2 linked regions of the Schizosaccharomyces pombe genome follow. The protein of the gene in region 1 interacts with the protein of each later gene in a biochemical or structural test. Each region holds a gene or a part of one and is shown on either strand. Other genes may lie near its edges.

The links. The genes of interacting proteins can lie anywhere in the genome.
Region 2: the proteins of orb6 (region 1) and skb1 form a complex in vitro, tested with the Schizosaccharomyces pombe proteins (one study listed by BioGRID).

What each region holds. Positions count from the first base shown.
Region 1 is NC_003424.3:1,005,636-1,011,284, reverse strand, and holds orb6 (serine/threonine protein kinase Orb6), read right to left. Parts: upstream 3,023-5,649; 5' UTR 2,847-3,022; coding exon 2,704-2,846; intron 2,437-2,703; coding exon 2,262-2,436; intron 2,217-2,261; coding exon 1,125-2,216; 3' UTR 967-1,124; downstream 1-966. Other genes in the region: dnf1 (P-type ATPase), read left to right, coding at 1-645; gamma-glutamyl phosphate reductase Pro1, read right to left, coding at 3,536-4,891. UniProt on the Schizosaccharomyces pombe protein: Interacts with pak1/shk1 and coordinates cell morphogenesis with the cell cycle. It is essential for maintenance of cell polarity and is involved in mitotic control.
Region 2 is NC_003423.3:2,275,180-2,280,776, forward strand, and holds skb1 (protein arginine N-methyltransferase Skb1), read left to right. Parts: upstream 1-2,075; 5' UTR 2,076-2,095; coding exon 2,096-2,285; exon of another isoform or gene 2,286-2,334; coding exon 2,335-3,833; exon of another isoform or gene 3,834-3,879; coding exon 3,880-4,068; 3' UTR 4,069-4,445; downstream 4,446-5,597. Other genes in the region: SPOM_SPBC16H5.12C (uncharacterized protein), read left to right, coding at 1-1,528; ATP-dependent RNA helicase Prp43, read left to right, coding at 4,584-5,597. UniProt on the Schizosaccharomyces pombe protein: S-adenosyl-L-methionine-dependent protein-arginine N-methyltransferase that can catalyze both the mono- and symmetric (type II) dimethylation of the guanidino nitrogens of arginine residues in target proteins.

The DNA of each region.
Region 1 (5,649 bases):
GGGCTGGGTATTTTTGAAAAAGACTTAAGTGCTAGTACCGTAATCGCTGTCCCGGAGCTTTATCAAAAGGGAATCAACAATGAAGCATTCAATTGGCGAGTGTATTTTGGGTGGTGTTCAATAGCCTTCATTCAAGCTTTCTTAGTTTTCTATGTTACGTATAGTTTATTTGGAATGAAGGAACTTAATGACAACAATATCTTCGCTTATGGTCAACTCATTTTTACTGCTGCTATTTTTATCATGAATTTCAAATTGGTCTTTATAGAGATGCAATACATAAACATCATTTCTATAATAGTACTTGTTTTAACGTCCTTGGCTTGGTTTTTATTTAATATCTTTATAAGCGAGCATTATCCGGACAAGAATTTATATCTTGCTAGATCACAGTTTCTCCATCATTTTGGCAAAAATCCTTCATGGTGGCTTACTATGCTTTTTGTAATGGTTTGTGCTTTAACAATTGATATTGTTGCCCAAATGTTACGAAGGACTTTACGTCCTACGGACACCGACATATTTGTGGAAATGGAAAACGATGCCTTTGTCCGCTCTCGGTTTGAGCAAGAGAGCGGTGAGTTTTTACAAGCCAATGCACCATCTGTCGATGAAATTGAACAATATTTAAAAAGCCGAGATTAGGCATTTAATTCATTAATCCAATTCTAGTATATGAAACTTTCTTTAGACGATAGTCAGTTTACTGGTAAAATGTTAAAATTCTGGGGTTCCCACTGTTCAATTAGAAATTGTCTATTAGTTATGGGTCATGATCCGCATTTCATAATTATTGTTTACTATTTTGGTTGGTTTTCTTGGCGTTAACATCCTGTTGTACTTATTAATACATGTTTTTTACTCACTCTTTTTTATCTTTTCCCTAATAAAATCTATGCATTAATTTGGAATTCTTATGCAACGAATTTAATATTTACAGAAGTGCATGTAAGATTTTATCAGTAGGGACAACATTAAAAAAAAGTAATTGGTAATATTATTAGTTATGCTAAAATAATGTAAAAGAAGGTAAACATGAATTAACGATAAAAAAAATTCGATAACAATAGTTAGATGCTCAAAGGACAATGAACAAAGTAGCTATGGAGTTTCTTGCAGAAGTCTTACAATGCTCCTTTCATCGTTAAATAATTGAATTTTTTGTAAGTGTACCCAAGGAATGCCAGATTGGTTTGTTCCAACGTCTGAGGGTCAACAGAAGCAGGTTGTTGTGTGACAGGTTGTTCAGGAACTTGTTCAAGCTCATCAACAGGGAAATAATGTGTATCGGTAATAGATTTCAAATTCGGAATAAATGGAGCTGCAGTTTCTCGTATATGATCCCAATCGATTCCAGTAAAGAAAGGATGTTGCATTATTTCAATAGCACCGCCACGACCTAATCTGTGTTCTGAATCTGTCATAAGTCGGTCCATCAAATCACGAGCTTCTATGCTTAAATGTATATCATTTGGGAAAGTCAGAGTCTCACGCCAATTGATGATTTTTCGATAAGTTTCATGAGAGTTTTCACTGCAAAAGGGAGGCCATCCAATTAAGCACTCGAACATGATAGCGCCTAAACTCCACCAATCACAATCTTGACCATACCCTTGTTGCAAGAAAATTTCTGGAGCGATATAATCAGGAGTACCCACAGTGCTATAGGCCATCACCCTACGGTTCTTTTTCCAAGTAGCCATTTTGTCCTTGGAAGACATTGTAAGCCAGATAGCATCTACCATTTGACCACGTTTGACAGTATTTCCTGTGCGAGGTTTCATGTAAGAGGCACTCTGATCTTGCTTGTAAAAACCAGTGGAAAGTCCGAAATCAGAAAGTTTTATATGGCCATCCCGGTCAATCAGTATGTTATCCGGTTTTATATCCCGATGAATATAACCCATTCGATGAACATCAGCTATAGCCAAAACGCACTCAGCCATGTAGAAGCGAGTAACGTCTTCTGAAAAAGTATCATAATTTATTAGCATGGTCATCAAATCACCGCCTGGTAAAAACTCCATAATCAAGTAAAGATACAGTGAATCTTGAAAAGCATAATACAATGACACCACCCATGGGGAGTCAGATTCAACTAATAAGTCGCGTTCTGCTTTGACATGAGCCAGCTGGTCACGTTTGAACATTTCAGTTTTAAGCAAAGATTTCATGGCATAGATTTTACCCGTATCGAGTTTCTGAACCAACCGAACCTATTTAATTAGATACCAAAAACATAAACAATTATGCAAACGTACCTCGCCAAATGCACCTTTCCCAATAACTTTGATGGTAGAAAAATCTTCTAAAGAAAGCCGTGTACGACGAAATCGAAGAAATTGAGACTCTTTTTCACCAGATGCTCTTAACTGCCTATTCTTTCTCTCCTCAGAACCCCTTTCGGTTGCTAATCGTTGCTCCAAATTGATACGTCTAAAGAGAATTAGTATTTATACCTAAAAGTAAATTAAACGGAAGCTAGCATTATTAATTAACATTTTCGAAACAAGATGAGTAAGCTGTCTAAGATTTTATAAACATTCGAGATTATGCATTTACTGCAACACGCGAAGTTGAGAACGGAGAAAGAATTAATAAAAGCATCGTCTTTGATACTTATCCGATCAACGTATAAGATGGGAATACTAATTGAGGAATGTGAAACAATGCTAGAACCCTGAATAGTAATGCTACTCGTACCTTTGGTTGCGCTCTACAGCATGATCAACTGCCACCTTGTAATAATGTTCAATATATTTCTTTGTCTTTTGGACTTTGTCTAAAGTTGATTTCGGAAATAATGAAGGGTTCCGTTCAAAGTGTAAGTAATCATTCTTATCCATATTGAAAGAAATGTTGCAATAAATGGAATTTTTACACTAATTAGAATCAACTACAAGGTCAACGAATTAATTAACAAAAAGAAATTGTTAAAAGATTGAAATTCAATCGCTTAAAACATGAATTAACAAGACATGCAAAACAGAAATGAGACAGTGATAAATCGGATATGGTAAATGACAAGTCCTATTATGCTTTTTTAATTATAGGACTACTGCCAGCTAAGGTATAATCCGATAAAAATATGTTAAACTGCGATACTGGAAAAGCAAGTACTTCTGCAGTTTGTTATATAACTTCAACGATCGCTTGCGATAAGCTCCGCGCATTTCCTAACCCTCCCTGTTCAATATTACGACGCTACTAACTGAAGCCAAGAATCTTAGCTTACGAAGATTTTAGAATCTGAATTGAAATGAATAGTCAAAAAAGACGGACGGAGACATCAATTCGTTCTTCACCATAAAAATATTTGTGTAATAAAAACTAAAGGTGGTGGATCGAACTCTACAGGAATAGTTATCTATTTAATTTGGTGTTTACTCTTCATTTAATAACTTCACATTATTGAAACTCCCATTTAAATATTATAGACAAACAAGTAAACAAAAAAAGCCTAACCGATTTGTATCCAAAATGCAGCTAGCCAAAACGTTGACAATTTCACATAATTTTCAAATCTTTTTTGTGTTTATTTTTTCGAAACCTGAGAAATATTGTCTATATTAATAGGGGTATGTTTAAATGCGCGTTTGCCAGGTCCAACTCCATAACTACTTGCAACTTGACCATTTCCTCTAAGTTGGTACTTGTAAATAGTTAACCCATCAAGACCCATTGGTCCTCGAGCATGAATTTTGTTGGTGCTGATGCCAACTTCGGTACCGTAACCATAACGAAAACCATCGGCAAATCTGGTTGAAGCATTCCAATACACACCAGAAGCATCAATTCCAGCCATGAATCTGTTAGCAGCTGCTTCACTAGAAGTGATAATGCAATCCGTGTGTTTAGAACCATGTGTATTTATATGCTGCATTGCGGACTGTAAGGAAGGTACAGTCTTAATAGCAAGAATCAAATCAGAGAATTCAGTGTTGTAATCTTGATCGACAGATGGTTCAACTAGAGCACTAACTTTTGGCATATCCTTTAAAACCTTAAGAGAAGCGGGATCACATTTTAATGTAACTTTTGCTTCAGTTAAAGTTTCAGCAATTTTAGGAAGATGAGAAGATAAAACAGCTTCGTTAATTAACAAAGTTTCAATTGCATTACATGCTGCTGGATAATCAGTTTTTCCATCCAGAACAAGTTTACTAGCCAATTCCATATCAGCATCCTCATGGACGTACATGGAGCATAGTCCTGCAGCATGACCTAAAACAGGAATTTTTGTGTTATCTTTTATATGGCGTACAAGATTAGTGCTGCCGCGGGGAATAACCAAATCTATGTACTCATCCAATTTTAATAATTGTGATACCTCCTCGCGACTCTGAACAAGCTGCACAGCAGCCTGTGGAACCTTACTTTTGCCCAAGGCAGAGCGAACAACATTAGAAAGTGCAGCGAAAGACTTTGCTGATTCCGTGCCTCCTTTAAGTACAACAGCATTACCAGATTTGATAGCCAGGGAAGTAATATTAATGATTACTTCAGGTCTAGCTTCAAAAATGACTAGCAATAAACCTACAGGGCAAGAGACTTTATAAAGGTCCAAACCATCGTCAAGACTACGAGCATAAGTAACACGACCAAGGGGATCAGGCAAACTTTTAACATCTAAAACACCCTGTACCATGGAATCGTATTTATCAGATGAAGACAGATCCAATCTTTTAACCATCGATGAACTTAGTTTTCCTGATTCAGCCAAGAGCTTAGCTGCTTTCATATCTTCAGCATTTGCAGCTAGAACCTCTGACTTTTTTATGCGCAGTTCTTCAACTATTTTATCCAATGCATCATCACGGTCTTCCACTGATAATGTCTGTAAAATGTTAAAAGCGTTTTTCGCTTCCTTTACATTCTCTTCAAGAGACATGCTAAACAATACTTATACAACTTTGAGTAGAGGCAATTGGGAGATTTAAATCAAGCGAATTCTTATTCTTAGAATGGCTAGCTCAAAAAGACTACTTTTTGTAGTATTTTGGTTGTTTTTTCTAATGTATGAATAATGCAAGTTCGTGATTTATTTAACACCCTTCAAGTAACAAAATCAAGCATTGTTACTTTACATTAAGCATAACTAAGATTTCTGAAAGATACGAAATCATGGAAAGTGAGAGTACTTCTGCAGTTAACTAAAAATATTTTGCAACCTCAAGAACAGTTAGTGTTATATTTTCAGTTTTTGTTTTTCCGTTACTATATATAGTAGCCTTACTTTTCACTTTTCACGTAGTGCAAGAATTATGCTTGTAAACAAAAGACTAAAAAATGAGCAACTGGGTATCTTCGGTTAAGAAATACAAAGATACTAATTTTAAAGTGTGCTTTGTATATTCCATAGAGAATTTGGATTATTACACACTTCGTATTTCTCATGAATAAATTATAGTCATATCGTAAAAGCAAAAACATTTATTAGCATGGTGTCCAGTTATTACTGAATCAATTTGATCTAGTTGTTTTTAATTCAAATTAAAGATGCTTCTAGTTGAAATGCACAGCTCAACAAACAAAATTGTTTGTTCATCTTTTCGGGAAAACATCCTTCAATATAGAGTATCGCTAACGGTTGTAATTGAATTGTTTACAATGGCTGATCAAACTGTTCATTAATATAGTACTTTTTTT
Region 2 (5,597 bases), on another chromosome or scaffold:
GGGTACTATGTGGACTACAATCCTTCAAATGGGTGAACTAATAGAAACCGCTAAGAGCCTGCTTGACAGAGAGGAGGCACGTATTTTTATTACGCATCATCCCATTGGAAGAGAAGGTGTTCTTTCTCAATTAGCTACTGCTTGCCAGGCTGACCTGACTTTATCCGCCGGTCTTCATTTTCGTTATGGAGCTAGCTACAATGAGTTTTGCGTAAATCATAGTCCTGAACATTATCTTCAAAAACTTTCGGCTGCCCGTGCACAGTTTATGGAAGTGTATGACACTGTTAAGGCTGAGGTTGAGAAGATGGTTACCCCTGAACAACATCATCTAATAAACAATGTTGTTCGCCTAGTCTCTCGCATGCCCGATGCAACTAACTCATATGCTATGAATAACATGCTTCCCGGCACTGCTTTTAAAAACCTATGGAACTTCAATTTATTAGATGCTTCCTTTGGATGGACTGTTTTTGTCGTCGAAAATGGGCATGTTCAAGTGGAAAGCAAATCTCATGGCTTTAATTTAGGCTATCGTCGCATGGCTTCACGTCGTAACGAAAATTATGCATCTCACATTCCACGCTCAACTTCGGAAAATACCGGTACCTATTATTACGCTAACAATAGGTTGGTGGAATCTCAAGCACAGTTTACCAAGAACAGAGAAGCTACGGCTACACCAACCGAAGAAGAACAGATTGAAGGGTACGATCAGGAACATACTGATGAGCTAGGAATGTCAAGAGCGAATACTACAGAAGAGTCGGCTGAGACTCATGAAGTAATCGAAGAGAAGTCGGGACCACCTGCTGCCGAGGAAGAACCCATTTCTGGCGTAGCAGAGAAGCCTAGTCCTAATGAAGAAGAACAACCAGCAATTGGAGGGAAAGAGGAAGTTGACGTTGAAGAGGTGACTAAGGGTACTGGAAATCTCGAGCTAGGTGAGACGACTACAGAGGTTACCATACTTGAACAAGAGAATGCTGCAAATGTTACAAGATCTCAAGCACAAGAAGGTAGAAGAACTGATATGCAGAAGGGCAACGATCGTGAATTCCGTCAATATAGTGGTGAGCAGCGTTATGAACGTTGTGGATTTCATATTACCCCTTGCAATTCTGAAGAGGAAGCCCGTTCTTACTTTAAGGACGGGACAGACAGCCTGATTACGAATATTCAAATTCGTACTTCACTCAATCGTTACAAAAGTCCCCAAGCTCCTCAAAACGTAAACCCCACTAACTATGCATATGTATTTGTTGAAAACCAGAATGCTGTTTCAAAGGCCCTTGGAAGCATCAAAGTTCCAGAAGGTGTGCGGGTGAATATCATGCGTGATGATTCGTACTATCGTCAAAATAGAGGATGGTATCGAAATAACCGGATGGAGGGACATGGAACTGGAATGCGTACCAATCGTGGACGTGGACGAGGCGGCCGAATGAACAGAATGCAGCATCCTCGTCCATTACAAAGCGGTGGAAGTGTCAATAAACAAAGCGCTGAACCTACTACCCATGGTTAATGATGAATATTTTTTGCACTGTTTTCAATGCTGTTTTAGAACTGATTTTTATACCATCTTTTCACCTTTTTACTGATGTTAATGCAAAAGTTTACCTCATGAATGATGAAGTTTTCATGAAATTTATCTGACGCACTCATTTACCTCAATAACTGCGAAGCCAAAATAACTGATATGACTCTTTTAAGATATCTTTTTCGAATTCGGTTGTCATTGACAAAAGGGTGCTTACTTTACTTTCTTTCATATCGACTTTGTTTAGAAATAATAAAGTGATTTTTGACAAGATTGATTCGCAGAAAACTATATAGTAAAAATAATTAATTACTTTATGCTAGAATAGCAGTTATTAGCCTTTTCTTCTTAGAAAAGATGTAAGTTTTAATAGATCAAATTCATTAATTAAATAACCAAGTTGAAATTTAAAACACTCACAAACAATAAGCTAGCTACTCAACTAAACAATTTTTTTTTGTTTTTGCAACACAAGGTCCCAACCCTTACCGTATGTTATTGCGGGATGGCCGTATTCCACAGTACAGTATTTACCCATTGCCAGTTCCGCCGATGAATTCTAAAACGCCCACTCTAGGAATAGTTTGTTCAGAGGGGACCATTTCCTTGTCTTTGGAAGAGGGTTTTGAGTTTGTTGGAGTTCCGTTAAGTGGTGAAGGTTTAAAGCTACGAGTTGAAGCTCTAGCTCCGTCAGAGCGTTTGCAGGAATTCCTCGACGATGAAGTAGCTTATCACCCTGAGGGTATGTTTCAAATTTGAAAGAAAATTTATATTAACCAATTTTACTATAGAAAATGTGCACAAGGTGGTCGGTTTATCCTCAGCTTGGCTGGAGTTAGATTCTGAAGACACACTAATCGCTGATCGATCAGAAGAAGTGTTATTAAAGGAAGCATCATATGCTTCTTATTGTGGGTTATCTTCAATCATCCTAAATGGTCCAACTTCACCAATGAACGTTATGCGTTATGCGAGAGCTGTATCTTCTGCTTTAAACTCAACAATGAATCTAAAATTCTTGGTACAATTGGCAATCGAAAGTGGTCATGAAGACTATTTTGAGACATGGAAAATGTGGGACACAATTCGCTCAGCATGTGGTTATCACCCTAGATTGAAGGTGGCCTTAGAGCTACCTCCCGCTTGTTCACCCCCAATCGAGCTAGTAAATCGATGGTACGCGGAACCGATAGAGATGATTACTATGTCATGTATGGCTTTCGTTCCTAATCCCAACGGCTATCCAGTACTTGGTCGTAAGTTGAGGGCTATTTATGCTTTATATCTACGTCTCAATCCTCGAATTTTACTTTGGGATAATGACGCACCCGAGAAAATAGGTGATTCCCCCGACTACAGCATATATATGAAGCACCTCTTTGATTCACAGCCTCCAGCTCCACTTGTAGAAGATCTCGCGGATTCTTATAAAGACTATCTGCAAGTTCCTCTTCAACCATTGAGCTACAATTTGGAAAACATTACTTATGAAATATTTGAGCGAGATCCCGTTAAGTACGCCCAGTATGAGCAAGCAATTTTTTCTGCGTTGATGGATAGAGACGAATCTTCTGTCACGCGAATTGCCGTTGTGGGTGCGGGAAGAGGTCCATTAGTCGACTGTGCTTTACGTGCGGCAATTTCTTCATCTAGAACGGTTGATATGATCGCCCTTGAGAAAAATCCTAACGCTTTTTCCATGCTATTGATGAGAAACCGCCAGGATTGGGCTGGCAAAGTTACTCTAGTATTTGGAGATATGAGAACATGGAATCCTGATTATAAAATTGACATCCTTGTTAGTGAACTTTTGGGTAGTATGGGAGACAATGAACTTAGTCCGGAGTGTCTAGATGGTGTACAACATGTGCTTGATGAAGAAACTGGGATATGCATTCCATCTTCTTACATCTCCTATGTTACTCCTATTATGTCTCCTAAGCTATGGTCTGAAGCTCGTAATATGAATGACCCAAATGCTTTTGAAAGACAGTACGTGGTTTTAATGAACTCATTTGACTTTTTGGCTGCAGATGATGAGTTCCGTTTTCAGTCCCTTTGGTCCTTCCATCACCCAAACAAAGATAGTGAGGTTTATACTAAAAACTTGCATAACAAACGTTTTGCTAGTGTTCGTTTTCAGGCCTCTAGTCCTGGAATCCTTCACGGTTTTGCAGGATATTTTGAAGCTACATTATATAAGGATATTTCTCTTTCAATTATGCCAGCAACTATGGAAGCGAAGTCTCCTGACATGTTTTCATGGTTCCCTATTTATATGCCCATTAAGGTAAGTTACTATATTTTACGTTGCACTGTATACTAATATTTCCTAGAAACCCATGTACGTCCCAGAAAACAGCCAATTGGAATTTCACATGTGGCGATTGACGGACGGTATGCGGGTTTGGTTTGAGTGGTGTGCCAATGCCTATCTGGTGTTGCGGAATGGAAGTCAAATCAAGTTGTCTTCTACGGAGGTCCACAACATTTCCGGAAAAGCGTTCTCGTGTAATATGTATTAAAAATTAATAGTCCTTCTTTTACATTATTGTTTATGGTTTAAAACGGGTCTTCAAACCATTTTTTTGGAGTTTTGATTATAAAAATTTTTTGGATTTAGTTAAATCTGAATTTAACAAAAGTCGATTAGTTTTAGGATAGCTGTTACAATCAAGATTTTGCTGAGAAAGAAGGAGTAATGCTCCTATACTTATTGTCTTAAACGATTTGCCAGAATTTTAACTATTGTTCTTAAACATTCCTTTTTACACAATTAATTAACAGGCAAATTCATTCAACTGAAATACCCTGTCATTTGCTTACTATACTAGTTAATTAATTTTCATTAATGTATTATATTAGTCCGAACTTGAAAATTAACAACGCATTGCGTTATGCCACTCAATTTTATATAACGAATGTTAAGATAGATGGTTTGTTGGAAAATTCTTTAACTGCTTGTAGTACGGAGTATGCACTGTGTTCTTCGCCATTTACAGAATTGTGGGAAGGGTTTATATAAGGGCGATTTTCGACTATGGAACCAGCTCAGAAGAAACTAAGGCAAGAGTCAAAGAACCCGTATTTGGCACACTTAAACAATGGTGATGATTCTGAGGAAGTTGTTTCTTCGAAAGGGTTGACGCGACGTGCTACGACTGTTGCACAAGCAGCTAAGGCTGAAGAAGGACCAAACAATTTTTTTAATGATAAACCTTTTAGTCAAAATTATTTTAAGATTTTGGAAACTCGAAGAGAGCTTCCTGTATACCAGCAAAGAGAAGAATTTCTCAAAATTTATCACGAGAATCAAATTATTGTTTTCGTTGGTGAAACTGGTTCTGGTAAAACAACACAAATTCCTCAGTTTGTTCTTTATGATGAATTGCCTCATTTAACAAATACACAAATTGCATGTACTCAACCACGTCGTGTTGCAGCTATGTCCGTTGCAAAACGTGTCGCTGACGAAATGGACGTTGACTTGGGCGAGGAAGTTGGTTACAACATTCGTTTTGAAGACTGTAGTGGACCTAACACTCTGTTAAAATATATGACAGATGGTATGCTTTTGCGTGAAGCCATGACAGACCATATGCTCTCTCGTTATTCTTGTATTATTCTTGATGAAGCACATGAGCGTACCTTGGCAACTGATATTTTGATGGGTCTAATGAAGCGTTTGGCTACACGTAGACCCGACCTTAAGATTATTGTCATGTCTGCAACTTTGGATGCTAAAAAGTTTCAAAAATACTTTTTTGATGCTCCCCTTTTAGCTGTTCCAGGTAGAACTTACCCTGTTGAAATTTATTATACCCAAGAACCTGAGCGCGATTATTTAGAAGCCGCGCTTCGTACAGTGCTTCAAATTCATGTTGAAGAGGGCCCCGGTGATATCTTAGTGTTCCTTACAGGTGAAGAAGAGATTGAAGATGCTTGCCGTAAGATTACTTTGGAAGCTGATGATCTTGTACGTGAAGGAGCCGCTGGTCCATTGAAGGTGTATCCACTTTATGGTTCTTTACCGCCAAATCAACAGCAACGTATA